Lonchura striata: one gene and its partners. The protein of the gene in region 4 interacts with the protein of the main gene of each other region in a pairwise test. Links are inferred from orthologs where the notes say so. Each region holds a gene or a part of one and is shown on either strand. Other genes may lie near its edges.

Evidence for each region.
Region 1: the proteins of ATF4 (region 4) and BFSP2 interact in binary tests that used the Homo sapiens proteins (3 or more experiments, as listed by UniProt). The link is inferred for Lonchura striata from reciprocal best matches to the Homo sapiens genes ATF4 and BFSP2.
Region 2: the proteins of ATF4 (region 4) and EGLN3 interact in a two-hybrid assay, tested with the Homo sapiens proteins (2 studies listed by BioGRID). The link is inferred for Lonchura striata from reciprocal best matches to the Homo sapiens genes ATF4 and EGLN3.
Region 3: the proteins of ATF4 (region 4) and NFE2L2 interact in binary tests that used the Homo sapiens proteins (3 or more experiments, as listed by UniProt). The link is inferred for Lonchura striata from reciprocal best matches to the Homo sapiens genes ATF4 and NFE2L2.

What each region holds. Positions count from the first base shown.
Region 1 is NC_134603.1:113,236,619-113,244,911, forward strand, and holds the start of BFSP2 (phakinin), read right to left. Parts: upstream 3,023-8,293; coding exon 2,567-3,022; intron 1-2,566. Other genes in the region: TMEM108 (transmembrane protein 108), read right to left, coding at 6,319-6,441, 7,849-8,003.
Region 2 is NC_134608.1:25,775,647-25,783,882, reverse strand, and holds the start of EGLN3 (prolyl hydroxylase EGLN3), read right to left. Parts: upstream 3,258-8,236; 5' UTR 3,073-3,257; coding exon 2,716-3,072; intron 1-2,715. UniProt on the Homo sapiens protein: Prolyl hydroxylase that mediates hydroxylation of proline residues in target proteins, such as PKM, TELO2, ATF4 and HIF1A. Target proteins are preferentially recognized via a LXXLAP motif.
Region 3 is NC_134610.1:22,648,012-22,655,493, forward strand, and holds the start of NFE2L2 (nuclear factor erythroid 2-related factor 2), read right to left. Parts: upstream 3,025-7,482; 5' UTR 2,983-3,024; intron 1-2,982. Other genes in the region: AGPS (alkyldihydroxyacetonephosphate synthase, peroxisomal), read left to right, coding at 3,136-3,329.
Region 4 is NC_134607.1:24,137,769-24,145,747, reverse strand, and holds ATF4 (cyclic AMP-dependent transcription factor ATF-4), read right to left. Parts: upstream 3,208-7,979; 5' UTR 2,994-3,207; intron 2,047-2,993; 5' UTR 1,949-2,046; coding exon 1,732-1,948; intron 1,221-1,731; coding exon 373-1,220; 3' UTR 283-372; downstream 1-282. UniProt on the Homo sapiens protein: Transcription factor that binds the cAMP response element (CRE) (consensus: 5'-GTGACGT[AC][AG]-3') and displays two biological functions, as regulator of metabolic and redox processes under normal cellular conditions, and as master transcription factor during integrated stress response (ISR).

The DNA of each region.
Region 1 (8,293 bases), on a different chromosome or scaffold from region 4:
AGCTGGTTTTGCTGGCAATGCAACTACCCAAAATTTGGGATGCTGGAGCACATTCCAGGAAGGGCAGGAGGGAAATAGGACTTCAGGTCTGCTGGTGTCTCTCCTGTGCCACTGCAGAGATGGGCCTGTCACATTTGTGATTTTGAGACCAGGAGAGTCCTTTGTGGCCATGTCCTTGTCTTCTCATTAGCAGGGAAAGAGGAAAGGGCTCCTGCTTAGACCTCCTCCCAATTGTGTAATTTTCTTTGCTGTTTCTTGTTAAAAAACTGTTCCTATCATGAGTGCTTGGGCTAATACAGGTGCCTGCTTGAGTGTTTTTTTCCCCCAAAACTTTCATAGCCGCTTCATGCAAATGGCACTGAGGGGTTTTATGACTGCTGGGCATTTCTCCCCACTGAACCCATGGGCCTGGCATCCAAATGAGTGCTCAGATTTTACAAGAAGCTTAAAATGAGGTATGCCACTTTTAAAGAAATCAAGGTAGATGTGTACATCTGCAGAAAATCTGAATACATTTACAAAAAAATACATTTAGGAATGTATCTGCCAGGTTTCTCTCATTTCTGCTACACCTTGCTCTGAATGCCTTTTCCTTTTCTGTTTGGGATGTGTTGTGGCAAAAGGGTTCGGATTTCATGTGATTTCCGCTGTTTCTGCCACAACTGATTTTGACATTATTTTAATATATGTGGTGGTTTCAATGTTGATGCTGGCAAAATTTTACCAATTAGCTCCAAGACGAATGAGCTAATTGGTGTTTGGGCTGGATAGGGTCCTACTTTCATTTCTGGTTAAATGCTTAATAAAAAAAGCAAAGAAATCTATTAATCAGAATTGAACATAACAGCTTGGATCACATCCGTGAAAGACAAAACCCACTAAGTGATGCCTCTTTTATTGATTTAATTGAAGCAATTCAGAAGATTTCATGTGTTCTCTGATGTGTTTTGATAGTTAAATAGATACGGATGATGCTAATCTTTTTCTCTTCTTTTCTATGCAACTCACAAATGCTATTACTACATGGCTTTATTTTTCTGATTTTCATATGGGAAGAGCCTGATATTCAGGCTAGATTTCATTATGAGATGCTCTTATTAATTTATAAAAAAGAGGTAGAGGCAAGGATGACCACAAAGGAAGGTTGAAAGGAAAGCAATTTGGATGAAAAATTAATACATTTGCAGGTTCATCTGCACTGCAATGCTGGAGGTTTATGTAATGAAAAATCAAACAGTCCTTCCTAAATGGTCCTTTCCTATGGTCCCACATTTTTGGGCTTAACCATAAATCCTGGTAGGATTTACAGATGAGGTCTACAGCTACAAAATGCGACACTGGTCTGGAGAACATGGGATGGCAGCTGCAAAGGATTAACTCCCTGTCACCTATCAAAGTCCCTATCTTCCCCAGGGAGGGAATAGGTTCAAGGAGATGGCTTTTTGTACCCCAGATTCAGAGCACCCCTTTACTTCAGCAGCTGCTCCCTTCAGGAGGCAATAATGTCATTTACCAATAGCAACTTTAAAAGCTGGTGCTTAAGTGGGTGTTTCTGCTGACACGATCTTTGTACAACAGCTTATGCCAACACATTCAGGGTTCAAGCAATGTTTGTGGTGTTCTGGGAGAACACCTGCCCTAAAAATGCAAAGTAAAACTGGCTAGCCCAAGTTTAAACACACAATTGTCCCAGGCAACTTAAAGTTGGCTTTCAGGCTTTGTGAAGACCCAGTGATGCCATTTTCTGTGCCTACAAAAGCGCTGCTGGGAGAGGTGTGTGAGATGCCAGATTCCAGGTCTGTGGAATCCTGTCTGCTCCCACTGGATGGGAGTTGGGAAGCCAGGCTTGTGTGGTGCACCAAGACCTCAGCAGACAGAGCCTTGTGTTTGCTGCAAGCAGGACATCAGCCTGTGAGGCCTTACTGACAGCAAAATTAAATTTTTCTTGTCCATGAGGTCAATACAGACACTATTTCACTATAAAGATTTGTGCTGTATGGAGAAGGTGGGAGTGAGGGATGGTGGGGGTGATGGCAAAGGAAAGGAAGGGAGTCACTCATTTGTAGCAATGTAATTGCTATTTTTAAATAAATAGAGCTTTTGAAAATGTTATTAAGCCAACAAGGGAATGAAGTAAAAATCTGAATTGCTGATTAAAAAACAAAACCCCTCAACGTGCTTGTAATATCATGTTGAGAGATAACCTAATTCAGTCCTAGTAGGTTTCTTTCAATAATTTTGATACTCAGTGTAATAATCACAGACATAAAATTAAAAAAAAAAAAAAAAAAAAAAAAAGGAAAAAACCACCACCCGTTCTAATCAACCCAGACTTTGGCGCCTTGGGGTGTATTTCAATCGCTCCCATGCACATGACGCCTGAGGCAATTCTCCCGCTTAATAGGCATAATAATGCTAATTATCATGAAGATAGATTTTAAACGCTCTGTCTAGGCTCCTCGCCTCGGAATCAGACGGCATTCATGGGCAGCCTGGTCCCTGGCCGCCCGGAGCTGCTGATGACTCCCTCCCGCCCCGCCGGCTGCCGGCGGCGCTCCGCGCTCACCTGGTGGTAAATCGCCTCCCAGTTCTCCCGCAGCGCTCCCCAGCTGCCCACGCTGGCCGCCTTCTTGTCCAGGTAGACTCTGATGTGCTCCTCCAGCTCCTGGTTGACCTGCTCGAGGGCTCGCACCTTCTCGATGTACTCCACCAAGCAGCCATTCAAGCTTTCGTAGGAGAGACCCCTGCCCTTATCCAGCCCCGGGGCCAGGGGCACGGCGGCGGCGGAGCTGCGGAGACCCTGGAGGAAGACGCTGCTGATGCCCAGGGCCCTACGGGACACTCGGGTGCCCAGGCTGCTCACGCCGCCGGTGGGAACGGTGCCCACGTAGACGCCGGGGGGTCTGGACAGGCTCCCTCCGCCTCCGACGCTCACCCGGCGGCCGGGCGGCCCCGAGCTCTCCGCCGTGGAGCTGGAGGGCTGCTGCCCCAGGAAGGAGGACCGGCGCCTCGGCAAGGGCATGCTGTCGCTCCAGCCTGCCGAGCACCGCCGCTCAGCCCGGCCGCCTGGCCCCGCACTGGCGGCAGCGATGTGCCGAGCCCAGCAGGTTGGGGCTCGCCCGGGATTTCGGCTTTGTGCGGCGGCTTTCTGGAAGGGGGGCTTTGTGCCGCCTGGGAGCACCCGTCCCATTGTCCGGACGGCTGCTGGGTCAGCAATCCCATTTCAGGCGAAATCTCCCTGCTGCTGCTGCTGCAAACGTGGCAGATGAAAAGCACAATGGTGTTTACGGGGACAGCGGGACGGGGATTCAGTACAATGCACGTGTTAAAATACCAGCAGTGTTTTCTACGCTGACACCCGGGCGATTTCCTTCCCTTATAACACAGGTATCCAGTTATACACTACAAACGCGTCTGCTTCTCACGCCAGTGCTTGCTCCAGACATAGTCTACATCAGCAAGATGTTTCCTAACTTAGCACAACCCAAACCTCCGTGGAGTCAACTGGGCCACAGCTGAGCAGAGCCGAGCCAGCCTTTTGCCACTGTAGAACATTGAATGTTCCCTTGTGTCTGCTGCAGCTTCTGGGTTTCTCTGCAATTTGGCTTCACCACCCACCCAAGGGATATTGACACAATCTCAGCAGATTTTATAGGGACAAGCACCCTCATGTCCACCCCTTCTCAGTCAGTTTAACTTCACATAATCAATTGCACTTTATGTGCTCAGCAAGGACATGTTTCCCTTCTTGGCCTGTGTAACGTGGTGACAAAGTGAGGCAACTGTGAATTAAAAGAAAAGGGCAAAACAATCCTAGAGACTTATTGCAAGGAAAGAGGGATATTTCCCTTGCTCTTCTTTTTATGTCACTATTATTTAGCTACTAGCGATCAGGTGGGTTTATAGGTAATAATAAGTAATAAGTAGGATGTGGTCCTGGTACAGCGCAATCCTTCACAACACAATGTTAGGTCTGGCTTTTTCTACGTACACACAGGGATACTTCACATCAGGATGCTGTTCCAGTGCAGGATCACCATGTGTGCATCTTTGTAGGCACGATTGTAATGTGCTGATGTTGGGCATTGCCCTAATGCAGTGTAGGTTTGTGCAGGGGCAGTGGTGAGTCTTTGGCGAGACAGGATACAATCAGAAATCCCTGTCTTCCACTGGTGCCTAATCCTGGCTCACTGGGTTGATAGCTGAGTTTATTTTGCTTGTTTTTTTAAGTTGGAGAATTGAAAGGCTGCTTAAAGTCAGGTCACCATTTCCAGGTTGTGTGAAGACTGGGAACAGCACAGCATCTCTCAGCTTTGCAAAAACTTTTGTCTAGTTTAGGTATTCTGCCTTTAGATTACCAAGCAAACTTTTCTGGTTAAATGGGAAGCATCCTCCAATATTTCTTACACAGTATTTTCAGTGTAGTTGCTCTGTGTCAAATTAGAAAATCTCCCTTGCAAAAGTAATACCATGTACAGAAAACAAATGTAATAATGTGGACTCTTTTTTCAAAGAAATTAATTTAGTTTTTTGTAACCTTGTTCTCTCTGTCCACTTCCCTCTTTAAATAAAAACAAAGATCCTTGTGGGATTGCTTTTGCTCTTGGCAACACTCTCCTATCAAACAGTGGTTTCTAGGAGGTTATTTAGTAATTGATCATGAGGATCACAGGTATCATATTGCATAGCACTTATCCCATGGTGAAAAGATACATTCCCAAAGTGCCCATCCATGTTCATACACAGTCCTGTCATCCTGCCTGCCCCATGACCTCATGAGAAAGGCCTGCATTACTCTCTGATGCTGAGCAGAGAAACAAATACACAGGAGAGTCCCTGTAACATTTCAATCTTCCAGTTTCCAGAAGCCTGTGGTCCACATTCAGGTTTGTGCCTTGGCACAGCAGAAGTGCATGTGTGGGATGGGGAGAGGGGAGGAGCAACGAGGCCTCTGTGGCCCCCTCAGCCAAGTCTGGGTCTGATTCCAACCATCATTTAGTCAAGTTGTCATGTTGCTTGACAGTCACTGGGACCCTGGCGGCAAGTGGGAACAGCTGGACCAGATGTGCCACTGCTGTAAGTCTCTTTTCTAGTAGCAACTGTGCCTCACCTTGAACAAGGCATATGGTTAATGATGCTACACTAACCCTGTCCTGCTCCAGCTTCCCTTTCATGCAGCCAAGTGTTAAACCTGAGCAGCCAGTGGCAAGGAGCAGCCAGCTGGAGCAGGGGCTAAAGTGCCCCTCACTGTCAGCCTGCTCCTGATGAAGTGAGGAGTGACGGCAGAAAATTGTCTAGCAGAACTGGTGGCCAGAGGTGGGGAGAAGGAGGACGAGACCTCAAAGGACAGGAGTAATTTCACTTGCTGAATGAAAAAGGCATTTTGAGAAGCAAAACTGAGAATTGGTCCCACAGTAACAGTTCTGGATTACTCAAAGAGAGAGCATCGATTTGGGCCAAGTCATTCCATGTTCTATCTTATTCTTGCCTTGCAGCAACCTATTTTTAATCCATCATTTAAGCTTTGTTCACCCTTACTATTCCCCTAACGCTATTAGAGTCTGCAATCTAGCTCTTAACAGGGTAGGAAAGAATTGCCATTTTGCTCCAAAATGCTGTGTTTTCCTTCATAAGGGGGGAAAGAAAGTCCCAGAGAAGAGAAGAGGGTATGAGGAAACTTGATTCAGTGGCACCAGCAGTCTAAACACAAAAAATAAATAAAACAATGGAGAAGTGGAAATGTGGTCAAAGCCACAGCATTCAATTGGTGGTAGTCCCTAGTCACCAGATTGCAAGATTTTTGATAAATTGAAAGGAATTTTCTGTTCTTTTGAAGGGAGCACTCTACATGCCTTCTTTTGAGGCTGTTTGATGATCAGGAAATAATTCTAGGCTTATTGGGCTGAAGTGTAGCAGCTGTGAGTCCAATGTGTAGTGTGGTTAACATATTTACACAGGAAAAAAGGGCCATTCTTGTTGTTGCTCGTATAAAAGAGTTTTGGAGCTCAGACTGGAAGTGGGACAGTAAGGGGCTCACCCCAGCTGGTGCTCAGGCAGTACTGGAGTCACAGAAAGGATTCAGTCCACTTGACAAATGTTTTGCTTAGAAATACCTTTATTTTATAAAGCCACAGTTTGTTCTGTAAAGTTTTACCACACTTATAAAAAAGGGGCTGACAATTCTGAGGGACAAAAGAAAAGCTGAAAACATTTCTTGTAGTTCAGGGTTACACAAAGGTTATATTTATAATATATATATATTTATTTATAATTTGGAGACAGTAGAGATGAAACTGCAGTACGGGGGCAGGTGGGGGGTCATATTTCAGAGACTTGCTCGTGTCCCACAAACAGCGTTTCCTGACAGAAGGGGTTCACCAGGACCATCCCACTGTCACGGTAGTCACCGTTGGCCGGGGAGCGCGGCTCAGACAGGTGGTCCTGAAGGAAAAAGAAAGAAGCAGATTGAGCATTTCACACCCTTCAACCTCCAGGAGCACACAGGGCATTCCTCTCGATCCCCCAAAGGTGCCTGAATGTCGTGGTCTGTGACTCTGGAGAGCCGGGTTTGGTGAGCTGGTTTTTCCCTTTGTCAGGCAGGAGGAGCTGTGAGTGAAAAGTTCCTCTGAGGTTCTGCTAATTCTCTGTGAGCCTGGGGACCCAGAAGTCAACTGCACCAAACTTCCAATCCCTTTGGAGCTTTCACATTTCTTGGTTTGTTGCTTTTTTGGTTTGGTTTTTTTTTTTTTTCACTTTGTTGACTCATTGCATGTGTTTCCTATCTCTCAGCAGGGCTTGACTCCTCAAAGATGCATTTGCAACTTCTTTTTACAGTTAGAAAGCCACACATAAGGGTCCACCTGAGTATGCTCCAGTTCAGTCATATTCTGATGAGGTTTAAATGAGTCACCTTTTGAAGACTATCCTGTATGTGAATAGGCCTGACATTTGATTCTGGGCAAGCTAGACCAGGTCCTGCCTTAGTTTGAGCAACGTGATTGCCAGCAAAGTGGGGTTAATGAAGTGACTGTGACTGTCTAATCACATCTTAGAGGTTCCTTTCTAAACTTTTTTTTTTTTTAATTTAGTCATATGAGCTAGTCAGATAGCTGATCTGAAAATCATTTTATCATAAACTCAGACTCTCCACTGTTTCTAGGTTTTAATTATCTTTGAATGAAACTGAATTATTCTCTGTCTCTGAAGCCAAGGAATAGATTTCTATCAGTAGGATCACCTGCTCATGTGTGAATAATCCCACCAAACCAGTCAGATCTCTTAAATAAAGGCTGATGAGTGTACACCACACCACCACACTCCCTCACATACTGATGTTCTGATTACTTTTGTATTGGGAACACTAATTCCCTGAACTGGTATTTGAGAAGTTGCAGGCAGCTCCTGAGACATAAATGTACAAAATTTCTTTGTTTTATTAACTTCCAGCAGCCTCCTATTTTTATGCTGTGTGGCACATGCACAGTAGACTGATTGTCAGTAATAAGCCAGCCTAAAGAGCTCTCCTTAAGACATCATGGCATGGCTTGACATTGGCTATAGGCTCACAAGGAAGAGAAGCCCAGGAATAAATTCACCTCTTGGTGGTTAACGCCCGTCACCACGCAGCAATGCAGAACACATCTGCAGTGGCTGGGAATAGGATGGCAATCCAGCTTTGCTGAGATGTTTATCCCATCCAATACATGTGTAGGAGTGAGTCCTTCCCTAAAAGCTGTACCCCTGAACATCTGTGGGGATTTCAAGGCTTTATTAATATGACTTCCTCTCCCCTCCTCCCAGCATGGCATCAGTTACATTTTCCAGACACCAGTTCTGCAAGCGAGGTACCTCTGAAGTCTCCAGTGACTGGATCTCTCTTGGTAGCTCTACAGCATGCCTGTTGAAGTAGTCCATGGTAATAGCATTATTCCAATAGCTCAGATTGTTCTCTGGGTTAGATGTCTTCTTCTTCCTTCTCATGCAGCAGACTGTCAGCAGAACTGCTGTCAATAGAAACATGTCAAAAGTCTGGTTATTTCCTTTCAAAAAGAACTCATCAGTACCATGGATTTGTGCTTTTTGTTACTTATGGAGAGGGCTGGTGACCTGCATTCATATACTTCATTCTCAGTCAGTCCCATCTCTCTGCTAACAAACCCTACACAATTATGTCAGAATCTGGGCCAAGCAGATGAGGCTTTGGGCTTGGCAGAATATACAGTTTTTACTTTCTTTTTGATGTGAGTGTATAATCTTCAAGATGTGGCTGCCTGATTAATGAAAAGCTTTTTTG
Region 2 (8,236 bases), on a different chromosome or scaffold from region 4:
CAATCTTAACTCTCTTGAAATTAATTTGGAAACAGCACAATCCTAACTGACTTGTTCCTCTAATTTAGCTGAAAGGAAAATTTCCTTTATTGGACAAAAGTTGTTCAGGACTTATATTTGTGTAGCTACAAAAATATGAAGCACTTCACACTAAACTGACATAATCTGACATAAATTCATTCTCACCTTCTTCCAACACATAGGCTTAAGACTAAAGTCATACACTACTTATTGAAAGTATAAACCTTTAAATAATGATGGGCTGATATGACATAAGTACATTTTCATGACAAATTTAGTTAACATGTACCTAAAGGCTTACATTTTAAACAAATTGTTCTGAGCTCTTAGTTCTGAGTAATATCTATATGCCAAAACAATAAATTACAACAGCACATGTCCCACAAAGCAGCTCTGGTCCAGTCACCCATGAACACCCCACATATCCACAAATCTTAAGCTGTGAAAGTTTTGTGGGCATTCATTTACATACATAATCCACCAGATAAAATAAAAATTTGCTGAATTTAAATTTGGGATTTGTGTGTATGCATTAATAAGACTTCAGATGATAAGCAGAATGGGAAGGTTTAATGGTAGAAGAGAGATGTCTTAAACCAATATGGGAACCTGCATGCACTGTAGTAATCAGTTGTTAGTCACAGGAATAATCTTTCTGCTGAAGGCATCCCATGTCTCAGTTACAGACAGCAGCTGCTATTCCAGGGCCTCACATACCCATGGTATTTATTATTATAACAAGGGGATTGGTTACTATACTGATGAAAATTTCTCTGCATTTGGTTTTGCAAACAATAGTGAGATATTGAGTCCCTTTCAGTCCTGGACTCTTGTGCAGCACTTCCATGTGCTGTTTGGATTCTGACAAATTTCACATTAAGTCACAAGAGCCAGAGGTCTCTCTTCATAGTAAATATCTTGCTACCTATTTATAAAACAAGTTATGTTCTATTTTTTATTACTATTTGTACAAGAATGCCTTCAAAAACACCAAAACGCTGTTTTAAAACCATCTCTACAACCCAAAACCACTGCCCAAAAGACCCTTCTTCCCAGCCAGCACCAACAGCCTTCATTCATCCAGATGATTTGTTTTCTAAATACCTCGTAAAAAGTCTGGACAGCCTCCTTTCACACCAATCCAGCTTTTAAATAACGCCCCTCAATATCCACCCCTGCGCACACACCCTTAGCCAGAAATGCACTTTCAGTAGTAAACAGAAATCACCCGGAGAAAGGATAAGGATGACCTTAAAGATGTGCCAAGGCAGGATGGTTATTTATGCCTCCTAATACAAGGCTCTCAACAGGAATAAGTAAAATCCAAACTACCCACATTTTTAAAACATACCTACCCAAGCTTTAACTGAATTGATGATCACTAATTCTAAAGAGCTAAGCATAAGGAACAATGTTTCAACTTTTACTATTCCCACTACCGTGTGTAAATGCATGGGGATGCATGCAAAGGTTTCAGTGTGTTCCCAAGCAACTGGTAAATATCACTGTACCTTTTTCATCATTTTTCAGGGGGGAATCACAATACCACTCACACACGCCCTTAGTCAGTGCAAGTTAGGATCAAGAGAAATGCCTAGCTTCTCCCTATTGTAATTTTTTAAAACTTTCATTGTTTTTGTTTCTGGCATATCTCTAACAGCAGCGGACCTTTTGAAAATGTACTGTGTCAAGTCAGAAATAAAGAAATAAGGATGTTTTCAGTATTCAGGACAACAAAGTAAACTTAGTTCCAAGTTAGTACACTTTGCCGTAGCAAAACAGACAAGGAAAGAAAAGACGAGTTAACTCCACACTAATGGCATTGCAAGTGCAAATAAACTTCATTGGGAAAGAAACTAATAATACAAGTGTCCCCTTCATTTCTGAGAAAGCCTAGAAAAAGCAATTTGTCTCTTTAAAACAAAAGTTTGCTGCGCTCAAACTACTAAACATCCCGTATTCTGGCCATACTCAATGCGGTAACGATAACCTCTTCAGCTGTAGAACGGCGACAAGAGTCGGAACCGCGAAACTATGCAGGATAATACATGGGCGAAAACATCTTAACAATCGGATCAGAGCTGGCTACGTTCCCAGGGAGAGTGTGGAGACCTTGCTCCCCCCCGAAATAGCCAAGGTTAGACGTTTTTGGTGGGGTACGCCCCTGTCCGCACCTGGGGTGAGCGCAAGGAGAACCGGGGTGCAGTCGGCTCCAGCCCCACTGCGAGAAGCAAGGAGCCCCCGGGACGGCTGCGAAGGGATGGCCGGTGTCACACAGGTGAAAAGGCAAGGGACTGGATGGGGTCCGGCAGCGGTAAAGCCCGGAGAAAACCCAACAAGGGGAGCTGCGAGGAGCCGCCCCGGAGCGCTGCTGGCACCGGCGGGGCGAGGGACCCGCAGGGAGCGGCCCCGCTTTCCGCGGGACCCCGCACCCGGCGGCAAGGGCTGGAGAGCGGCTGCCGTCACGGGAGTCCCTCGGGCAGCGCACCGCGCCTCCGCCACCCGGGCGGTGCTGCGGGACAGCCCCGCGGGACTGCCCGAGCCACGGGCACCCGCCGATAGCGCCGACGCGCCACGGACGAGTGCCCGTGGAAAGTTTGGGGCGGGTCCCGCCGGCAGCTGCGAGGCGGGTCGGGCCGGCTGGGAGCCCGTGCCGGCGGGCGGACGGGAGGTCGGGGCTCCGCGGACCCTTACCTTGGATCGCTCTTTCACGTAGTACTTGCCGAGCCGGCTCCCGCAGTACATCACCAGCCGGTCTATCAGAGTGAGGAGAAAGTTGATGGCCTCGCAGCCCTCCTCCGTGCCTCCGATCCACTTTATCTGGTCTCCGCGGAGATGCCGCTTGGCGACGCCGCGGCTGGGGCCGGCTAGCTGCCCGTCGGCCAGTTCCCCGTCGCGGTGCATCCGCTTCACCCGCTCCAGCACGCAGTCCCCCACCACCTCCCCCAAGAAGTTGTCCAGGTAGCAGAAGCCGATGTCGTGCAAGCAGGGCACGACGTACTCCAGGGCGATTCTCTCCAGGTCCAGCCTCATGATGTGTCCCAGCGGCATGGCGCGGCGGGGACGGGCGCGCCGCTGCTCTGCCGGCGCCCGCGCTGGGAGGCGATGCCCGTGGGGCCGCCGTCCGCTCCAGACCGAGCCGGGCAGGGGCTCCGCCGCGGCGCGAGGCCAGGCGAGGCGAGGTAAAACTTTGGCCGCTGCAGGCTCGGCTACGCACCGCGGCCCGGCGCTGCGGGAGCGGCGGTGCTGCCGAAGCCCCGCGCTGGCGCTCCTGCCGCTGGCGCCCCAGCAGTGCGCGGGAGCGCCCGGGGCGTGCGGGAAGGGCGCGGGCAGCCCCCGCCCGCGGCGAGGAGGGCGGCAGATGGCCCCGCGCTGATTAACGCGCCGGCTACGTGCGGGATGTGTGCTCGCGCCGCCGCACGTGGGCGGGGCCGCCCGGCGCGATCGCCCCGCCCGCTCCCGCCCGCGGCGGCCCGGGCGGCCAATCGCGCGGCGCGGGGCGGGGCCGGCCCGCGGGGAGCGCGCGGCGAGGGCTCCCGCACGTGCGCGGGGGGCGCGGCCCGCCGTCCCGCGCGCCCCCGGAGTGGGCGTGGGCAGCGCCATTGAGGAATTCTCGCCTGGCATGTCGGCTGCGACCCCCGCGCCTCGCCCTGCTCCGCCGCTCGGAGCTCTTGGAACGGTCCGGGTGAACTCTGCCAATGCCCCGCCGGGGCTCTCCGGCCGCCTTACCTCCGCCTACCGCGGCGGCAGTTTCAGCGCCAGACGGAACTGTTGCATTACGCGGCAGACACAGTTTTTCTGGCCGAAGAACGCACCTTTTACAAAAGGTTTACATAGCAAAACAGTACTTTCCCTTGAATTATTTATCCCCAAGGGCCCGCCAGGTTGCTTGGCTCCGGTAGCAGGCAACACCTCCCGGACCGTCGGCGGCTTCGTGCCGCGAGAGGACAGCTGCGGTCAAACCGTGACAAAATTCGTTCTAAACCAAAACTCGCCTTTCCCCCGCGTGCCCCTTGCCGGTAACACTGTCCCTGCAGCGGCCGGCCACGGAGTACGGTCCCGCGGCCGCTGTTGGGTCTGCTCGACAGCAGCACGCTTTCGCGTAAAATGCCTCCTGAGAGGCGAGCAGCAGACCTCCGCTCAGCTCCGTTCGCACACGCCCGGGATTTGCTAAACAAACGAGAGAAACCTCTACAGAAGCCAAAACCAAAGCAAAGTCACGTTGCGGAGAGGCGCTCCCTGCGGCCAAGCCGGGCGGGATAGGGCGGCCGTGCCCGGGTCGGTGCCTGTGAAGTTCCCGATGCCACAGAGACCCGCGGCCGTCCGTGTGCCGAGCGCGTCCGTCCTGCTCGGCGGCCCCGGCGCTGGCCCCGGCGGCCCCGGCGCTGGCCCCGGCGCTGGCCCCGGCGCTGGCCCCGGCGCTGGCCCCGGCGCTGGCCCCGGCGCTGGCCCCGGCGCTGGCCCCGGCGCTGGCCCCGGCGGCCCCGGCGCTGGCCCCGGCGCTGGCCCCGGCGGCCCCGCGGGCTCCGCGCCCACACGCGCACCCCTCCGCACCCCCACGGGCTGAGCTCCGGCCGGGAGCCCGCAGGGCGCGGCCCGTGGATGTGCCTGCCCGTGGCGGATGCGCCCCACGGAGCCCGCGCAGCGCCCGGCACAGCGGCACGGCACGGCACGGCACGGCACGGCACGGGACTGACACGGCTCCGGCTGGGAACCGGCACATTTCACCCCCAAAAAAGGCAAAATAGGTGCTGGTTCTTTTTTTCCCCTTCACGTCGCGAATGCTGACGGGATTACCAGCAGTCCATGCTGCTGATGCTGCTCGAGCTGCAACTCCAAGCCCCGGCATACGCAGGAGCGGGTCACGTATTCCACGTTTGTTCTCCTTGAATCCAGTGGTATCTACCCCTCAGTGCACAGCACTAAGCACAGGTCTAATCCTCTAAAGTTATTCCCTGACAGCTCTGTCGAGAGACCAGCAACATTATATCAGATAAATTCATATCTGGTGAGATATGAACTATCAAAGGACCTTATTTGATTTAGATACACACTTCACATTAAAGTGGGGTTATAATTAATAAGATACAATTATGAATCTTATTAATCCCTTAATGCTTATCTGAAAAATCAGTAATGTATGATAGGTTAAGAGCAGTTGTCATAATCAGGCAAGGGATGTAAGATTAGTTCAACTGCAAAGTATCAACGTTATGAAATTTGCATACATTAGGAAATATTGTTGATGCATTATTGTACTGTTTACACATTTTTATTATATAAAATAAAACCCTTTGATTTTCCCCCTTTTCTTGTTTACACACACATGCAAATATACAGTCCTGTACCAGAATCAAGTACTTGTAGATGCTGAACTTCCAGCCTTTCTATCAAGTGTAATGATGCCACTTGAACAAGTCAAGGACTAAGAGGGATGCCTTCTGGCAATAGCTGAAGTTGGTCTTTACAGCATTATTTCTCTTTTTTTGAAAGTTTGAAATTACGAGTTAGACTGATGCCAGATCTCCATCAGAAAAAGTCACCTTAGGGAGTTAGAGATTTGTCTTAGAAAACTGAGTCCACAGCCCCAGCTGCAGAGTGATGTTCACAGAGTTGTAAATACATTTGTTCCTCCAGCATTGATGTCATGTCTTCCTCAGGTGGGCATTCACTGCCATTTGCTGGCAAATCAGGTTTTCTGGTGGACAAAGTGTTTTGTCACTTGAAGCATGATGTGCTTTTCATACTAGCATTTTAAATAGCAGTCAGATGCATTACTGTTCCATATGAAGATAAAACATCAGGAGGAACAAGAGTACTGATTCTATTTATTAATTGGTTCTATTTTACTTCATCTCTTTGTCCCTTGATGAGGATGATAATGAAGGTGTGTGATAGAGTTTGTGATTGCTTAGGTTAGAACTTCTCCATGCATGCAGAGTGCGCTCGGGAACAGTTTTCATTCCTTCATTATAGTTTGTAACCTGAGCAGTCACAGGCTCTATCACACAGCTTGATCATCACCAAGAAAGCACAAATTTCTGCCTAGCCCACAGACACTCTTCAAGAGCTCTCTCATTCTCCTTAGGGGTAGCAAAGCTGAGTTGAGAGATGCTAGGCTGCAACTGTAGTAATTCCCAAGCTAAGACATTAATTTGACAATAAAAGGAAAAGCAGTCCTCAGTGTATACTACAGCGTGTTAGAACCACCCAGAAGAATAAAAGAGCTGGAACAGGACCAGACATTGTACCTCCCATAGCACTTCTTGTGACCACTCCACTGCTCTCCAAACAAAGCTATCACAGAGCATGTACAATCTAAGTGTTGCACAGGGCATAAACAAAGGACTGAGGGTGTGAAATCAGGCAATTCACATCATCTGTTCTTTTGGACATGCATAAAGTTTGTTTACAGTGCTGTGCATCTCAGGCATGAAAGGTGTCACCACACTTTAATTAAAAATCCTACATCATTCAATTATATATGGGCAATCCCTCTGCCATGTAAAGCTCTGTTTATCCTTACAGTGTATATTTTTTTCACTTCTAAAATTAATTCTGTGTTTTCTTATTTTCCATTTAATCTAATTTTGAAAACTTCTAACTTCTGAGTCCTGCATATCTGTTGCTTGCACTGCCAGCATAGCACACATTAGAGTTCAGTAGACTAAAACAGGACATTAGCAAGCTGGCAGAATGATTTTAAGGAGATTTGTTTTAGAGGATTAGAATAATTGGTGTCAGTCAAGCCTGGATATTAGTTATACACTAATGCTATTTTTTTGACAAGAGAATTTACAGATGAAATGCTTCACACTTTTTTAGAGCAGGGAGTTTTAAACATTTTGAGTCTTGTTTTCAGACTTTTCTGCTGGAAAGCCAGACTTCTTCAGTGCCAAGGGCTGAACTGCAAAAGCCCCAGCAAGAGCAAGTGAAGAGAATTCTTTATATCAGTGAGAAACTGTAAAACAGTATTCTTAATACCTCATAGCATAATTTGTAGAGCCAATGTCTCATGATCTAGTGAGAAAATAACTGAAGTTCTGCCTACAGAAGGTACTTTTCTGACAACGTTGGTGTGGTTATATAACCCCTCTGGCCAAGGAGCAGGTAGTGTTTGTACAGGGATGACACACCAGTGCTACCACACCTTGCCATGGCTTCCTAAGAGGTCACTAACCCCACCTGTCCTTCTCATCCCTCTGCTGCAGGTTTCAACCTCTCCTCCGCAGCACTGGCAGAAGAGAATGTGTTTCTGCCTCAGTCCCTTCAAAAGTGCAAAGTCCAGAGCCTTACATCCATCTTCACTGGAGGCTTAGTTTTACACAGAAATAGCTGAGGCATCACCAGCTGTACCATTCCTTTGCCTGCTGTGCTGGAATCAACTCCTGGCAGAACAGCTGTGTTTTGGTGTGATGTGTCCTCCAAATGCAGCCACAAGACTTGTCAGAGCTCCTTTGTCAGCACCTTTAATATTATGCCACAATGAGATCAGGAATGAGGGCAAAGGTGTCTGTCATGGCTTGAGTTGAGCTAACAACTCATTCAGCACCTCTCTTTGCACTTGCTTTGGCACACTTTGGACTCCTTGATGGCTGTTTTCCTTTTCTAAGGTGGCAGAAAAGCAATTTTGAGAAAAGAAAAAAAAAAAAAAGAGTCATTTGGGAAGTTATCTTAGGTCCAGTGAGTGTTGCCTTCAGATGAGAAGGTAAGGCGACCTGGTTTCAAGGGACAGCACGGCAGCCCAGCCTCGCCCGGGCCACTCGGACCACAGACATACCCAGACACCAATGTGGTGGATGGTCAAATGGCGTTTATTACCTTATCTCGTGAGGTTAAATAGTCAAGGGGGCTTTGCTACATCAAAGGAAGAAGGTAGGATCTCTAGGATTAGTAAGGAGTGGAAAACTACTGGGTTAGGTGGGGTTACGTGTCTTGGGGGTAATGGATTACATATCACAGGATGAGGAGGAAGGGTCTTGCTTTCTGTCACATCCCGAAATCTTCCATTCGCCTGTCCCTATCTACCACAAGTGAGATGCGCTGGAAGGATGGGAACCATTGGGACTGACCCCTTTGGGCATGAGTGAACAATCTGATGAACAAGAAGGAAGACCAGGTGTCTGGCTGAGGTGGTGACTCTGCCTCTCAGCTCTGCCCTGGTGAGACCCCACAAGGAGTGCTGGGTCCAGATCTGGGCTGGACCTCTCTTATG
Region 3 (7,482 bases), on a different chromosome or scaffold from region 4:
CTACAACCTGTTCCAGACTCCACTCAAGGCAAGAAGATTTATCAGGAGAGTTTTTCCTTTGCACAGCCTGTGTGCAGGTTGCCTAGGAGTGGAGTGTTTGTCCTGAGAGCATGCTCCGTCCGTGTCTCTCATGGGACCACTGCGTAATGGAACTCTGAGACACCTTGTTATGAAGACCTCTCTGAAACTTTACAGTACTTTGGCAACTTTATTTTGTTTACACTGTAAACTGGCTTTAAAACTATTTTCTGAAAATGCCAATGTGCAGAATTCTGGAAATGCAGGCCTTTGTTGGCATGAGGTGTCACATTGAGCTGGCATCTCACTTATGCTTACAGATGCACTCAGTTTTGTGGGCAGAACAGCTCATGGAATGGCAAAGGCTGCTGCTTTGGCTCAACAACAATTAGAATACTTCCAACTACTGCATTGTAGATCTGCTGGTATTTTTACTGATAAAAGTTCTCTTTGGTGTCACAACAGATTACTTTCAAATTTGTTTTCCCTAAATTTTCTTCTTGGCACTACTACTTATCAGAATGAATTATATGGTTAAATTAGATACAGTTTTTGAAAACATGCCAGTGGTTCACTTCAGCAAATGAGAAACAGTGACCTCACAATCTGACAGCACATTATGTTTCTGCTGCTTTTTATGAAGATTGCCATCCTTCCAAGGGAAGCAGGGATTGCATGCAGAGCACTGGTAGGAGCTTAGCAGTCTTACTGTAAGAAAATACCTCTCTCACACGAAAACAAGGTGTGACTTAGCTATTCCTCTGCTTTGCAAAAGACAAGGCTCTCAAGAGTTTCCAAATCATACCACTACGTCTCTAGCATCTCCAGTTAAATCTTCGTTCACACACATACTTAAAGACTAATTTGGAACTTTTTTGAGAAACAAGTTGTGAGGTGATTACAAATATTACTTATTAGATTCTAGTTGAGGCCAATTTTTAACTGTGAAGCTCTACAATTAGGATCAAATAAATGACCAATTGGCTCATTATTGTTCCTTACAAGTGACTGTGATCCAAGGAAACATTCTAGGAAAACCTGAAGCCTACTACAGGGGATTTGGTATTCACTTGGCAGCATTCAGCAATGAGGAAAGTTTTAGGTAACTGTGACTCAAAGTCCCCCCAGCTATACCCAGAACTTCAGTAAACAATGTGAGTGGAAATTCAGTTGAGACCCATATTTGTTCCCTACAGACTGCCTCTGCAACAGCAGACAGCTAAATGTGGATATGCATGAGTTAATCCAGAAATTTGTGTACAAATTATTCACGGGGGGAAATTTAATTCCATAACCAAACTATTGAACTGCCACAACAGCTGTTTATGTTGCACTAATACCGGAAACCTAACTTAAGCCTGAGTGCAACTAGTGCAATCACTGCCCCAGGAAAATTGCAGGCTACTTTCTAGAGAAAGTATACAAAGGGTATAAAATCAATTAGCAATGGTGAGAATAAAAGCAAAACAAACAGTAATAACACCTGGGTGGCTTTATGAACTGCTTCTCATCAGTAGGCATTACTGGGGTTGGTCCTATATTGTCACGCAGTCCATAGTGTATTTATCTTCAGACCAGTCTCTCTGGGGAGATCCTGTTATCCCTGATATATATATGGGAGCTGTGACTCAAAGAAGCACCAATATTGCATGTGAGGTGAGGAACTGAGCCCAAGGCTCCCTGCTTGTGCAGTACAGCCTGCTCCCTGGGGAACCTCCTGCAAATTGCTTAGTTCATGGAAAGGTACCATGTTGAAGTATCATGGGAGAAATAGGTCCTTAGAAGAGGTTTGGAAGAGGGTAAGAGCTTTATCAATTTTCCTGGGATTGTATTTCACGTAACAAACATTCGATGAAGAAATTAACAAATAAATCAACATTGATAGACAAAATGTCATTATCAAACTATCAGTCATTGCGTAGACCCCAGCAATCTACTTCAGGACTTCCAAAAAGCTGGTCGGTGCCAGTCAGTGGCAAAAGCCGATCATGAAAGTAGGTCCTGTGTGACAACTGAGTAGACTACAACATGTGAGATACTTCATGCCACAGAGGAAAAGCTGGAATTAATCTGAGCAGGTCACCTTGCCCTGAGCAGAACTGCTTATAATGGTATGTCTGATAGATGTATGTTGTCTGTTCTTAACGCTGCTAATGAAGGTGACTTGGTTCTCTACTTAGGCAGACTACAACAGTTTTTCATTTCCACTGCCATCAGAAAATAGTCTAATGCTAATACTGAAGTTACATCTTGCAGTTTGAGCTCATTACTTCTCACCAACCTAGCTGAGTCATGACGGGCAGATTGCTTCCTTTCAGTCGATAGCAATCTTTTACATATTTGAAGACAGAAAACCTATTTTCCTGTTCTACTTTAAAGTATTTCCAGTTTTTGCATCCTTTCCTGAGCATTCAGGTGCATCAAGGTAAATTCACAGCAGAAAGCACCTGGGGCTGGCATCAAATCTGCATCTCCCCTTAAATCCCAGTTGCCCTCTTCAAAGTGATGCTACAAAGTGAATCCCTGATGTTCTCCCAGGTCCCAAGTACGGTGAGGATGGCCGGTTGTTGCAAGGATCGGCCCAGTGATGGGTATCCCATACAGCAGGCGATGCATTCCCAGCAGTGGGTCAGCAATCATTTCTGGGGAGCAGATCAGCAGCCGGATCCTCCCCCTCAGGCCAGCCGGGTTGCACAGGCACAGAGGCACCTGGCTCGGCAGCCCTGCGCTCACCAGGGCTTTGTGGCCCTGTCAACAGCGATGATAAAATCTGCAACACCTGTCGGATTATCTGCCACCACACCGACCTATTTCTTAAGTAACCCGCCTATGCTATTGTCATTAATTAGCATTTCATCATTAACTTGGGCAATCCTTATCTCTAAAGGACACTCTGTGTTCTCTCCCGTTTGTTCAGCGACCCAGAGGGGCTGTAATTACAGCACCGGAGGCGGGAATCCTTACCGAACGCTTTCTCCCCGAGCCCGGCGCTGCCGAGGCGCGGGCCGGGGCCGGGCGGGGGCGCGGCCGGGCCGGGCCCGCGCGGGGAGCGCCGGGCGGCGCCTTCCGCCCGCGCGCCCTCTCACCCGGCGGCGGTCGCGGCGCAACGCGGAAGCGATGGCGGCCGCGGCCGGCGAGGCAGCGGGAGGCGGCGGCGGCTCCCCGTCCTCCGCCCGCCGGCGGCTGCGCATCATCTCCGGGCACCTGCGGGGCTCGCCGCGGGCCCCGGGGCGGGGAGCGCTCTCCCCCAGCCCCTGCAAGGCGCAGGGCGGCTCCGCCGGGCCGGCCTCCGGCTCCATCCCGAAGAAGCGGTGGGTGCGGGCGGGGGTCCCCGCGGGCCGGCGGCGGGGCCGGGCCGGGCGCGGTCCCGGAGCGCGGGCCGGGCTCGGACGGCGCTCTGCTCCGGCCGGGCGCGGGCACGGGCCGGCGGGGCCCGCGTGGGCTCCGCGGGAGGAGGGCGGCTGAGGCGGGTGCCGGTCGCGGGTGATGTACATGGCTGAAGCCGTTCGCCGCTGCGGGCACTGGAGGAAAGCGAAAGAAGGTGGTCTTCAGCCTCTTACCTGTTTCTGTAGTAAGTGGGATGGTGTTAAAATGGGAAGTCGTTCATGGTCCTCTGATTCACGTCTGTAGATGTGATGGAGAAGTTTCGTTTTCGTAAAATACGTCGAGGCTTCTCTAATGAGGAATGCAGCACGTGTGAAGAGCAAGGTCTGTGGTCTCTTGGTCCTCTGCTGTTCACAGAAACCTTCAGCTGATGTGAATACTGGCAGAGTGTGCTCACGTGTGAGGTTCTAACAAAACTTTCTTAGAAATGAATGATTTTAGAGCTATCAAATACTTTTTCTGGTTCTTGCTGTCTGTAGTAGTGAGTCAGATCACATGACACCAAGGGAAAGCAGTCAAATTCTCTAGTTCACAGTTATTTCACTGGCTCTTGGCTTTGTTTTTCTGCTAGATTTTTTTTTTTTTTAAATGCTATGATTATAATACCATTATGTAGTTCCATGTAACTTGTTATTATGAGGCCTCCTTTCTGTTGGAGTGGACTTGTATTAGTTTTGTGACTTTCTTCTCCCCCTTTCTATCTTATAAGAGCATTTTAAGGCTTAGGATGTAGACAACCTCCTATTCTCTCTCGAACTGTGTACAGGAACTCGTTTGTTAGTGTATGGGCGTAGTCCAGAGGCAAACTGGGCAAGCAGTGAATAGAGGAGCTGTTCCTCGTTTGAGGAGAATCCATTCAGCCTATGCTTTGCTCTCAACCTTTTCAAAAAGAGAGCAAGGAACAGCCTGGATTCTCCTAATAGGCAAGTTGTGGCCTACAGTCACAAGCTGAACTTGCCTACTTTGGGAGGACTGGGATGTCATGCACATATGGTCAGATGTGAACAGCTTTGAAAGCTTTTAGTTCTCATTGAGGAGAATTTGATGCTTGTGCTGCTCACTGGGACAGATGGGTTGTTCTGAAGTTGTTGCCTTCCATATTGAGTTTTTGTTTGGTTTGAATCTAGGAAGAAATCACTGTTTATGGAAAAATACCAGCTTAGCTGTTTTTCAGGGATTTATCTTAAATGGATTGCTGTATAATTTCTGCAGCCAGTTATTGCATATGTGAAAAGCAGGAGAAAACAAACCTTTGATGCCTGTGACCTGAAAGATAGCTTCTTTCTCTGTGGAAACATAGGCTTGGGGAACTTAACATTTGTACTTCTACAAGTTATTGATATTGCTCTCCCCTATTAGGATTTGTTACAGGATCATAATGGGTTAGTATTTTTACTGTAAATAACTTGATCTGGACTCAGAATGAAAATTTGCTGTGGGGGTGTAAGGGAAAGCTTAGCTTGTTCTTCACTAGAGGTATAACTTTCTTGCTGTACTTAGAATGCTGCCTTTTTGTATGTGTAGAAACAAGAAAAACATAAAGGGATCTTTATCTCTGTCTTAAGTTTCTGTCTGAACATCTGAGGTATGGTTGAAACACACCTAAGATGCTGCATGTGGAAATTCTGATACTTCACTATAGCTAGGCTATGTGGATCTTCGTTGAGCTCATGTTTGAGGATAATACCCAGGTTTTGGAGTGATAGAGGAGTGAGTTATGTTGCCTACACTGATTTGGAGTGGGAAATGATGAATGCCTGAGTCTTGTTCTAGTGACTCCCAGCTAATCTGGAGCTGATTTTTATTTGCGATGCTAAGAAGGTTGCTGGAAAAATCTAGTAAAAATAACTGACCTAGAGACTGTGCATGCCTTTTTAAATAATATTAGGACAATCCAAAGCTGGATGATGTCTTCTTGTCTATTGAATGCTGATTCAGCTCTTCTGCCTCTTTTGAATTGTTACTTTAATTTTTCCTAGCAAAGCTGTAGCCAAAAGTACCTTAAGCGAAGCTTTTGTTCTTTACACCTGTTGCATCTTTCCTGTAGTGTTTGAAATAGTAGCAAAGCTATAGACGCTACTTTAGCAGATTCAGTTCCACTCTCCTCATATTACATTTCTTCTGCAAGTAAATTATTTTTTTTTTTGATGGAAAAAAACCGTTTGTAGTACTTTAGGTCTGTGATCACAGAATTTTTTTTTCCGGCTGTTTTTCTAACAGTCAGTAGACAGTGACTTCTAAAGCATGGCTTTCTTGTTGATAGTTCATGATCAAACTGTTAAAGATCTTATCCAGACACTATTTCTCACCAGCAAGGGGAGTATGAAGAGCACATGGTATTGACTGAGTCTGTGGGTCTAATCTAATTCTTCTTGTTTCCAAATAAAAATGCCTTGGAAGACTGAGCAATGCATATTGATGTGTTTCTACTTTTTCAAGTTATAGTTATTGAGATGGAAAATTCCACAGAAGACAAGCAACTATCTATTTGTTTGAGTATTCTCTTGAGGGAAATCTTAGGCACTGTGAGAGTAGAGAGATGTTATTTCTCAGTGGCATTCCTGGCTTAAATGTAATATTTTAATTGAGTGTTGCAGTGAAAGCTGGAATCATAGTTACACAATGTGTGTTGAAGCCTGAAGAAGATGATAGGCATGCTGAAAAAGTTGGTAAAACGATTGAGCTGGAAAATAACTCTTCCTTGAAATTACTTTTCCTGTCCTTTTATGTTATGCTGTTGACTTTTGATGACTGGTAAGCTTGCTTTGCTGGTGAGACTTGAATTAAAAATTTACTTAATCTTCAGAATAACTGTATATACGTGAAGTGTTCAACTTGAACTGCTTTGGAAGCAGTCAGGTGCTACAACTTCCTAGAACAGAGTTGTACCAGAGTAACTGCTGGGTGTGCTCAAAAGTATGAGTGCCTCAGAGATGGATCATGCACTGATGCTGATCTCAAGAAAACTTGTATAACTTACTCAAATCAAACTTTCTATTATTTAGTCTTTGTTAAAAGGGATAATTCATTTAGATTAACTAAATGTTGACTCAGTAGCTTGTAGGCTTAAAATTTATTCTGTTTTGCTGCAACAGAAGGCTGGACAGCATATCCTGATTATCCTATCTCTGTGGAGAAGCTGCTTTCCTAGGGACGAAAAGAGGGTTGTGAATATGTTTTAATTATTGTGGGCATCCTGTTACACAGGGAAAACTAAGGGATAAGCATGTAGTGAGCTGTCTGCTGTGTGTCAAGTTCACAGGCAGGTTGTTCAGGGTAATGTGTTACCTTCTTCATATAGACACTTGAAATTCTTGCTGCTAACGATTATGATGTTATTATGCAGCAACATCAGTTAACTCCTAAAGAATTGGTACCATTTGAATATAAGTGTCTTCAGAGGGGCTTTGCACCTTACCCCCAATACTCAGAGGAATCTTTATAATAAGGACTTCATCCTTTAGAGAACGGTGGTTAAGCAACATGTGTTGCTAAGATGTATCCTGGTGTAGCTGACTTCTGAGTTTAAGATGATGAAAAAGGATGAAGAAGGAAAGGGCTGGTGCTACTTTACCACTCTTAAGAAATCAGAAGGGTAAGAACCTGTTGCATTGAGGAAGGTGTGGCAGTTCACAGGAGGTTCTGTGATTGCATCAAAGCAATTAATTATTAGTCAAAGTTAATACCTGAGGAACAGATAAAGAAGATTCGCTCATGGAAACAATAACTTATAATAACATATGTTACAGCAATTCCTGTCTATAGCTCCAAATAGCTTTCATACATTTCATCTTCCTGGCATGCAACTATAAGAATTTAAGTAATACAATATTTATTGTTAGATAATTTGATACCAAGTTAGCCAAACTGGATATATTAATTACCTAATTTTTATTAGAAAAAGAACTTAGATGAAAGTGTGTTTAATGTGTGAAGCTCAATATAGGTTATTATATGAAAGCAAATAGCAGTTTACAGCAAACCTGAAAGACTTTTGTAGTATCTCCTGATGTACATTATGTACAAGAAAATGAATGTGTATATAACTGTTTATTTAAACTGAATAGAATTAGAATAATC
Region 4 (7,979 bases):
GTTTCAACGGTCTCACAATTTGCTGAAAACTGAGGCACCTCAGTGTGATGCCCTTACTCCAGAATACAGGGAAATTATGGAGGGCACAGGTCAACTGAAACATTTTACACACGCTCCAGTTCCAAGCACTCTGCACTTGCACTGTACCCACCACCCAGAACAAGCAGCACAAGTGACACACTGCTCTCACTAGACACACAACAGCTTGTTGTGCTTGTATTTACACCTAGGTGTGGTTCAAGTCATGCTGGTTTTACAGGTACCACTCATCACACGCCATCATTGCACATTTACTACAAAATCATTTATTAGACAGCAATACACAGCTTTAGCAGGAAGCTTATATACAAGCACACAACACTGCTGACTACCCTACTCGGGGACTCTAGCTCTTTTGCCCTTGGCCTTGCGGACCTCTTCTATCAGATCTTTTAAGTACTGAATTTCCTTACTAAGGGAATCTGCTTTCTCCTTCAGGGCCTGGTTCTTCTGCTCCAACTCTCTGCACTCCCCAGACAGTGCCTCCTGCTCCGCCCTCTTTTTCTGCCGGTAACGTGTGGCAGCAGTCTTATTCTGCTCCATCTTTTTTAGTTTCTTATCTATTTTCTTTTCTCCTTTCACCTTTGCTGACACTACCTTCTCTGCAGGATGATCGTATGGTTTGGACCGCACAGAGCCACAGGGGGCATCTGCAGGGAACTGGTTGCCATTGGGGGACCCAAGTGAATTGGTGGGGCTGTGTTGGGGGGTTCCCAGGTAGGAGTCTGGGCTCATGCATATTCCACTATCATCAGAGTGGTTCTCGTCCTCTTTCTCAGACTTGGTGATCACCACCACAACAGTGGGGTACTCCCGTTTTCTTTCTCCTTCCAGAACATCCACTTCGCTACCTAGCTCTAAACTAAATGAGTGGTCTGGAGTGGAAGTGAGAGACCCTGGGGAGAGGGGAAAAGACCAAAGGGAAGTCAATGGGGCCATTGGATCTGCTCCAACAGGGGATTCAGGGAGATGGGTGATTACATTATTTATCAGTGGAAGTTCTTTGTTGTGAAATTCCTGGATGGTAGCATTAAATAGATCACACGTGTCTTCCAACGTGGCCATCAGCTCGTCTGGTGAGACGGTGGCTTCCAGATGTTCCATACCTAACAGGGCATCAAAATCAAATTCCTTCAGATCCATCTTCTCCACCATCCACTCCATGCCAGAGAAGGCATCCTCTGCACAACACAGAAAGTAAATTACCACTTCAGTAAACCATCACACAGTGCAACTCAAGCTCATGAAAAATCTATCAGTTTATCATCTTGCATGTTTCTTCTCTCACGTATTACAACACTAAGAGTAAATCATCAGGAAAAAACTCTTTCATTAAGCTCCTTAAAACTGCAGGGTACAACATTACCTCTCTTGTGACATTACAGCCCTCTTATTTAAATACCAAAAGAATTCAAGGACATTTGCAACACACAACCATGCTTTCTTATTGTTACCTCTGCCAAGAAAGAATACCATTGACAGCTGGTGTGTTATTTCAAGGCCAACAGAAGAGGCACTTTACCATAACCAGCAACTATGTCCAGAGTAAGCAGTGTAGCATACACTCTTTCCAGGCCCAGATAACACACGTGAGATTGCATTCGGATTTAAGAAAACCTAGCAATTTATTTTTAACTGTAATGTTGTGGTACTATGAATTGGCGTCCTTTATGAAAGTAAGTAATACCTTACCCTGACTGCTATCTATGGTGTTGCCTAAACTGTCCACAGCAAGCCAGTTGGAGGAGACTGCCTTAGCCTTGTCGCTGGAGAACCCATGCGAACCGAGGGGCTCGGCCACCTCCAGGTAGTCATCTAGGAGTCCCAGACTTTCCTCAGCCACCGAACACGGCTGGCTGAAGGGGGATATTGAATCCCCCAACAGCATCTCGTTGTTCAAGAAGCTCATTTTCGTCAGCTTTTAATGCTTTGACGTCGAAGGATGTAGACAAGTAGAAGGCTTTTTCGTCGACTACAGCAATGCTGCTGTGCGATGCCGTGAAAAACCTGCGAACAGAACTCGCACCCATCAGTATTTGGTTTGACCAACACATTGAATATTTTAACCGAGGGCAGCTCAGTGAGTATGGCGGAACTCCGCAGATTATCCCGCTTCTTTATTTCTGCGCGGCTGCCGCACGTCCCGCGCCTCCCCGAGGGGCCGGCCCCGCCCTCCCGCCGCCATTTCGCGGTCCCGCCGCCATCTTGTGCCCTGCCACGTTTCCACCGCGGCCGCGGCCCGCACGGGGCCGGTGAGCGCAGACCGGGGCCGGTGAGCGCGCACCGCGGCCGGCCCGCACGGGGCCGGTGAGCGCAGACCGGGGCCGGTGAGCGCGCACCGCGGCCGGCCCGCACGGGGCCGGTGAGCGCGCACCGCGGCCGGCCCGCACGGGGCCGGTGAGCGCGCACCGCGGCATTCAGCACCGCCGCCGGTGACCAACAGCCCCCGCCCGCCCAGCTGCGATTATGGCACGTGGGCCCTGGACTCAAAACCCTACAACCCCCAATGCCCCGTTTTCCCCCACACACAGCCGCGCTTTCCCGCGCGAGAGCAAGGAAACCCTCCCTGGGAAAGTCCCCGTACTCCCACAAAAATACCGGACAGTAGGTTTACGTAAGAAAATGGCAAACTTTTTCGAAATCGAGGTTTCTCCAACGATAGGAAACGCAGAGAACTCCTCGTAAATTCTTTCTAAAGGGCATTTCCTGCTATTTCTGACGCTCGCCGCACCCGGGGATACTGAGCTCTACAAGGATCTCCCCACCTGGGAGGCGTAGCTAGGTAGTTAATGTATTAATTTGGTATACCTAGGTATTTCTACCCGCTCCCCGTGAGATCAGAACTACCACCACGGGCGCAATAAATCCACCCCAAAAGCCCACTTCAAGCGGGTAAGAGGGCGCCTATCAACACACAGGAGACGGAGCAGCCGTCCCTCACAGACGATACTCACGCCATGGTTGCAGATGCCGGGGGTGTGCTGAGGCCGCCGCCGCTGCTGCTGCGCCTGCTGCACTGGCCGATGCCGCCGCTGGCCCTGCCGCCTTAAAGAGCCATGGCGGCCGGGGAGGGGGCTGCTCGTATCCGCGCCGCGCGGGAGGTGCTGCGCACACCGAACCAGTCACGCACACAACCTCCGCTCACGGCCACAGGAAACAATGAGGTGGCACCGGCGCCGCTCCGCTCTTATATACGAGACGCCTCACCAGACCAGCTGCGGCGGTGAGGTATCCTTCCGCCGAGCATGACCTGCCTCTCATCAGCAGCTAAGGGCTTGTGGCCTGTCTTTCTGGGCTTCTCTCCTGCTGTTCTGCTACGAGTTAAACACAGGAGCCGCCGACAAGACGCCACAGCACCATGACGGGACAATCATGAAGGGACTATATGATGTCTACGTGCGCGCATGACACCCCCCCTTCGGGCGCGGCTGTGCCACGTGACCGGAGCGACTGAGGACGCTTCCCCCCCCGCGCCGCGGGCAGCTCTGGGGGGGAATTTTACCCGCCAACAAAGACGCGGAGCTCGCGCGGAAGACGTCACGCAGCTCACCACGTTGGAAGGGCGGCGCTCATTGGCTAGGGGCGAGTCGTTTACGTGCCCCGTGAGCTGTGATTGGCCAGGGCTCGGAGGAGACCAATGCGGAGGGGAAGGGGAGAAGGAGCAGCGGGACGGGGAAGGGAAATGGCGGCCGCACGGGGTTGGGTAACAAGGATGATGGTGGGAGCGGGTCGAGAACGAGCAGCCGGGACGGGCAATGGCGCCCGCCCACGGCAATCCAGCGTTTCCCCTGACGTGCCCCTCTCGAAGCAGTGTGTGCACCTCACTTGGATTTCCAGCGGCTCCTTTTGTTCCCCGCACAGCCCCGCTGAGGTTTGGCGGGCGCTGACGGCTGCGGCCGAGGCTGAGGCGCTGTCATGGCGCCCCTGAGGCGGCTGCAGCCCGCCGTGGCTTCCTGCTGCCTTAGATAACGCGCTGCCTTCCCTCCCTGCCTGCCCCGCACACGGAGCGTGTAGATTACGGGCACTCCGGGGCTGTTTGTGTGTGTGTGTGTGTGCAGGAGGGCGTCTGCCCGGAGCCTGCCGGCCTCACAGCGGCCATGGCGCCGCACCGACGCTGAGAGCTCCTGAGGAGCCCGGCTGCAGAGCCGCGCTGCCGAGCCGCCGGCAGGGTCAGTCTAATTAGTGCCTTCAACCCACGCAGGGGCTGAAAATTAAGTTGGTTATTCCACAGCTGAGGAATAAAAATGTCGTCTCCTGCCGTGCAGTTTCATGCTTATGCAGTTGCTTCTCTTCTCCCTGTAGACATCACTCGACTGGTGTGAGCATTAATGGATCACCTATAGAACCTCGCGGCTAAAAAGGGCAGTGACACCTTGGGTAGCTTTCCAAGTGCGGTTTTGCTTTTTATCTGATCCAAATCAACTCGCTTCTAGGAAAGAAGTCAGACCTCTTCCCCCACCCAATTCCTGCTAAACTAAACAGCTCCACCAGCTCGCCTGGCCCCCGCTGAGACAGCTCACAGCAGGAACCTCACACGGGTCCACAGTTTTCCACTGGCTTCAGTTCACCATCCCTTCAGTCAGGTCACATAAGCACTGGACAGCTCTGGTGAGCTGGGAGTCTCAATACCTGTGTCATTCCTCACTGTGTCAGTTATCCAGCTTCAAAAGGTTGATTTTCCACTTTGCCAGCCTCATAGCACCATCAGCTCTGAGAGCTGCCGTGGGACTTTGCTTGTTCAAACACCATCATCCTGCAGCTCAACTTGCTCTCAACTATTTCTGCAAACGGCTCCACTATTTTCCTTTTAAAGCCTCAGTAGTATTTGGGTAAAGCCTTCACTTTATTTGCTCAGGCCTGGGATTTCGTAAAAAACTGGCTGATGATTTGCAAGGATGGAATGTGACCCAATTTTTACTTTTAGCAGTCTGGTCTTAGCACTGTCGCTACAAAGCAGAGTATGTCACTCCACATTTGTAATGAGAACACTGGCTGCTGAATTAAAAAGGGCAATTTCCCCTACATGTTGGTTTGTTGCCGTTTTACTTCGGTTGTTTGGTTTTGATTCTTTCTCTCTCTCTTTGTCTCTCTTTCTTCCTTTCTAAGCACAAAATTTGAAATGACTCATTTAAATAGAGGAGGCAGAGAAAAATGTCCTCCAGTGCCAAAAACCACCACTGTGGCAGTTGAGCAGTCTGAGATAACTGTTCTGATAAATACACTACGGAGGAGGCAGATCTCGCCTCGAAGGAAAATTGAGAGGATGCGGCAGCTTTTAAAGACGCTGAGCGGGTGATGGGCTGTGTGGATGGGTGGACAGCACTTCCATGTCCTCACTGGCTAAGGGAGAGCTCTCATATCCACAGCCGTGCCTGCCTTCCCCTCCTCTGAGTGAAAAGGGCGATTGTATGACCATAATAGCAGCTAAACAAACAGAAATGCACCCAATATTTATACACCCAATCCTTCATCATGAAAAGATAATTATAGATTTCTCTGAAAGGACTCTGGGAATGTATGCGCAAGAATCACGTAAGCAAAAATGAAGTATGTGATGAGGAACTTAACCCAGATCTGCCTGTTTCCTAGCCGCCTGCTTTCCCTTTTGTGTGTGAACTGAGATGGAAATTAATCTGTATTATGAGTTCCAGACAGATTTTCTGTAACAATCTCCAATCCAGAAAATGAAATCAAACAAGCCAGAAGCCAGCTGTTTAGAGAAAGGCATGTTTTTCCCTGTTTGCTGCAGGACTGCAGAATAACTGTTGTTAAATAATTTCATTATCTACAACCCCAATTCATTAATTATCTTTCTTTTACAGATATTATGTCAGACATATCTCCACTGTGTCTAGATTTTTTAGCCGAGGTAGAAGACACTTTTTTTTTAAAGTACAAATAACAATTTTTGGGAATTTTTGTACAAAAGAAATTACAACTACTTTGTGAGCACAGGATTGCTAGCTAGTCTTTACTAACTCAAAAGTGTCTAAAAAGGAATTTCTTTGCAATATTACATATTTATTGCTCAGAGACTGAGCAGCTCTGAAAAAATTTAATTTCAGCACAAAAAGGTGGCTTCTGAGGGAACACCAATTTGTGTGTATGGTAAGTGAAGTCCTGCTGTCATGTTAACAGCTTTATCACCATGGATGTTATTTTCCTGCCCTGGGGACCTCAGCAAAGGGAACTCCTGGGATAAGTGAGATCCATCCTGACACAGAAACGAGGGGCCAGCTGCAGGAGAAAGGAGCTGCTCTTCCAGAACTCGCTGCAGGAGAGAGGCCAAGGACCTGGCTGGGAAGCAGTGAAGTGCCCTGAAAAATCCAGCACTGCAGAGAGCCACCTCCAGCCAAACAGCATCACCAGGAGATGGAAAACTAATACTCCTCATTCACCCTCCTCCTTCCTTAGGATGGAAGATCAATATATGGGTTTTAATAATTTCTTTGGTTTTTGGGGTTTTTTTAAGTACACATTGCAAGGAAAAGATGTTTTCTTCTTCCGCCAGCAAGAATACAGGAGACAAATGCTGAATGCTGTTAGTAAGCACACCAAAGACTGAGAGGACGTAAATGTTTCCATAGTAACATCCCCTCCCACAGTCTAGACCGGCTGCATAGGATGCTCTCAGGGACTGCCAGTGGCTGGGAAGCTGGTGGCCCTCTCTAGCAGGGGAGCAAGGGGGGTGGGAGGAGTGGGAATGGCTGGGGCCAGGAGGGGAACCAGTAAAAGTAACAGCGACAGAGATGTCTGCTCTTCTCCAGAGTGCTGGGAAAGCTGCAGCCAGGGAGAAGGTGGGCTGACACTGCACTGGGAGGGTGCATGGTGGCCATGGTGGCACTGCGCAGGCAGCTTTGGGCCCCCGCTGAGCCTCAGTGCCCCAGAGAAGGAGCAGATGGGCTTTCTGCTGGCCCTGGGCTCTGCTGGGGTGCATGGGGAGGAGGGGGCACTGCCTGCTTTGCAGAAGGGTGAGTGTGAGGGCAAGCCCCAAGGGGATTCTTGTGAGGGATAACCTGAGTCCTTTGAACCTTCCATCAGGAGGAACAGGAAGCCTTATCCCTCACTTCAATGAACAAAGCATTTCCAGAGACTAGCAGGAATTTTCCCTGAAGACAGAGTGCTGAGAAAAACACAAGGGAGGAATGAGGAAAGGCAGAGAGACATTTTGAGCAATTTTGAGGGAGAATTACCTACAATCTCTATGGCACAGACTAATTCACAGTGCTTGCTTGCTTCTTTCCTCATGTGGTACAAACAGATATCTGAAAGATCTTTTCTCATTGTAAGCTCTTTAGGGATTGCTTTATAGATGTTCCATTTTAAAACTAGATCAAAAAGCAAATATATATGATTAAAGGTCAGGCTGGGAGATATTAACATCCATCTTTTATTGCATACAAAATAAGTTATCCATATGCTCTGCCTCGTTTGTTTTGGACTAGTACACCAAATGGAATCTCTAATAAATCATTCACTGCTTACCCACTCCCTCACTGTCTTCTGTTTCCATCCTGCTGTGTAAGTATACCTGACATTAGAAATGGGACTAATAAAAACTAGGATTAAATCTGCTATTTACATTTGCAACTTACAGTTCAATTATTTCACACAGTTATGGAAACAACCCTGGTTGTCCACCTACATTTTTCTTACTGAACAAACTTGGGCATGCCAAGCACATGCTGATAGCTCACAAAATACCTATCTCCAGAGGCTTCGTTACTCAAAATCAGCCAGGCTGTGGCCAGCTGCCACAAGTGAAAACATTGCGCAAATCTGGTTAGAGGGAGGTGAGTTGTAACTTGCCCAAGCATGAGTTTCCTAAGCAAAGCTACAACTGGCTGAAAATTATCTTCAGCAAAAAAAAAAAATGCATGAAGGGGTGGAGAGGAGGGGGTGCTGACTTGTTCAGACCATTGGGGGATATTTTTAGTTGT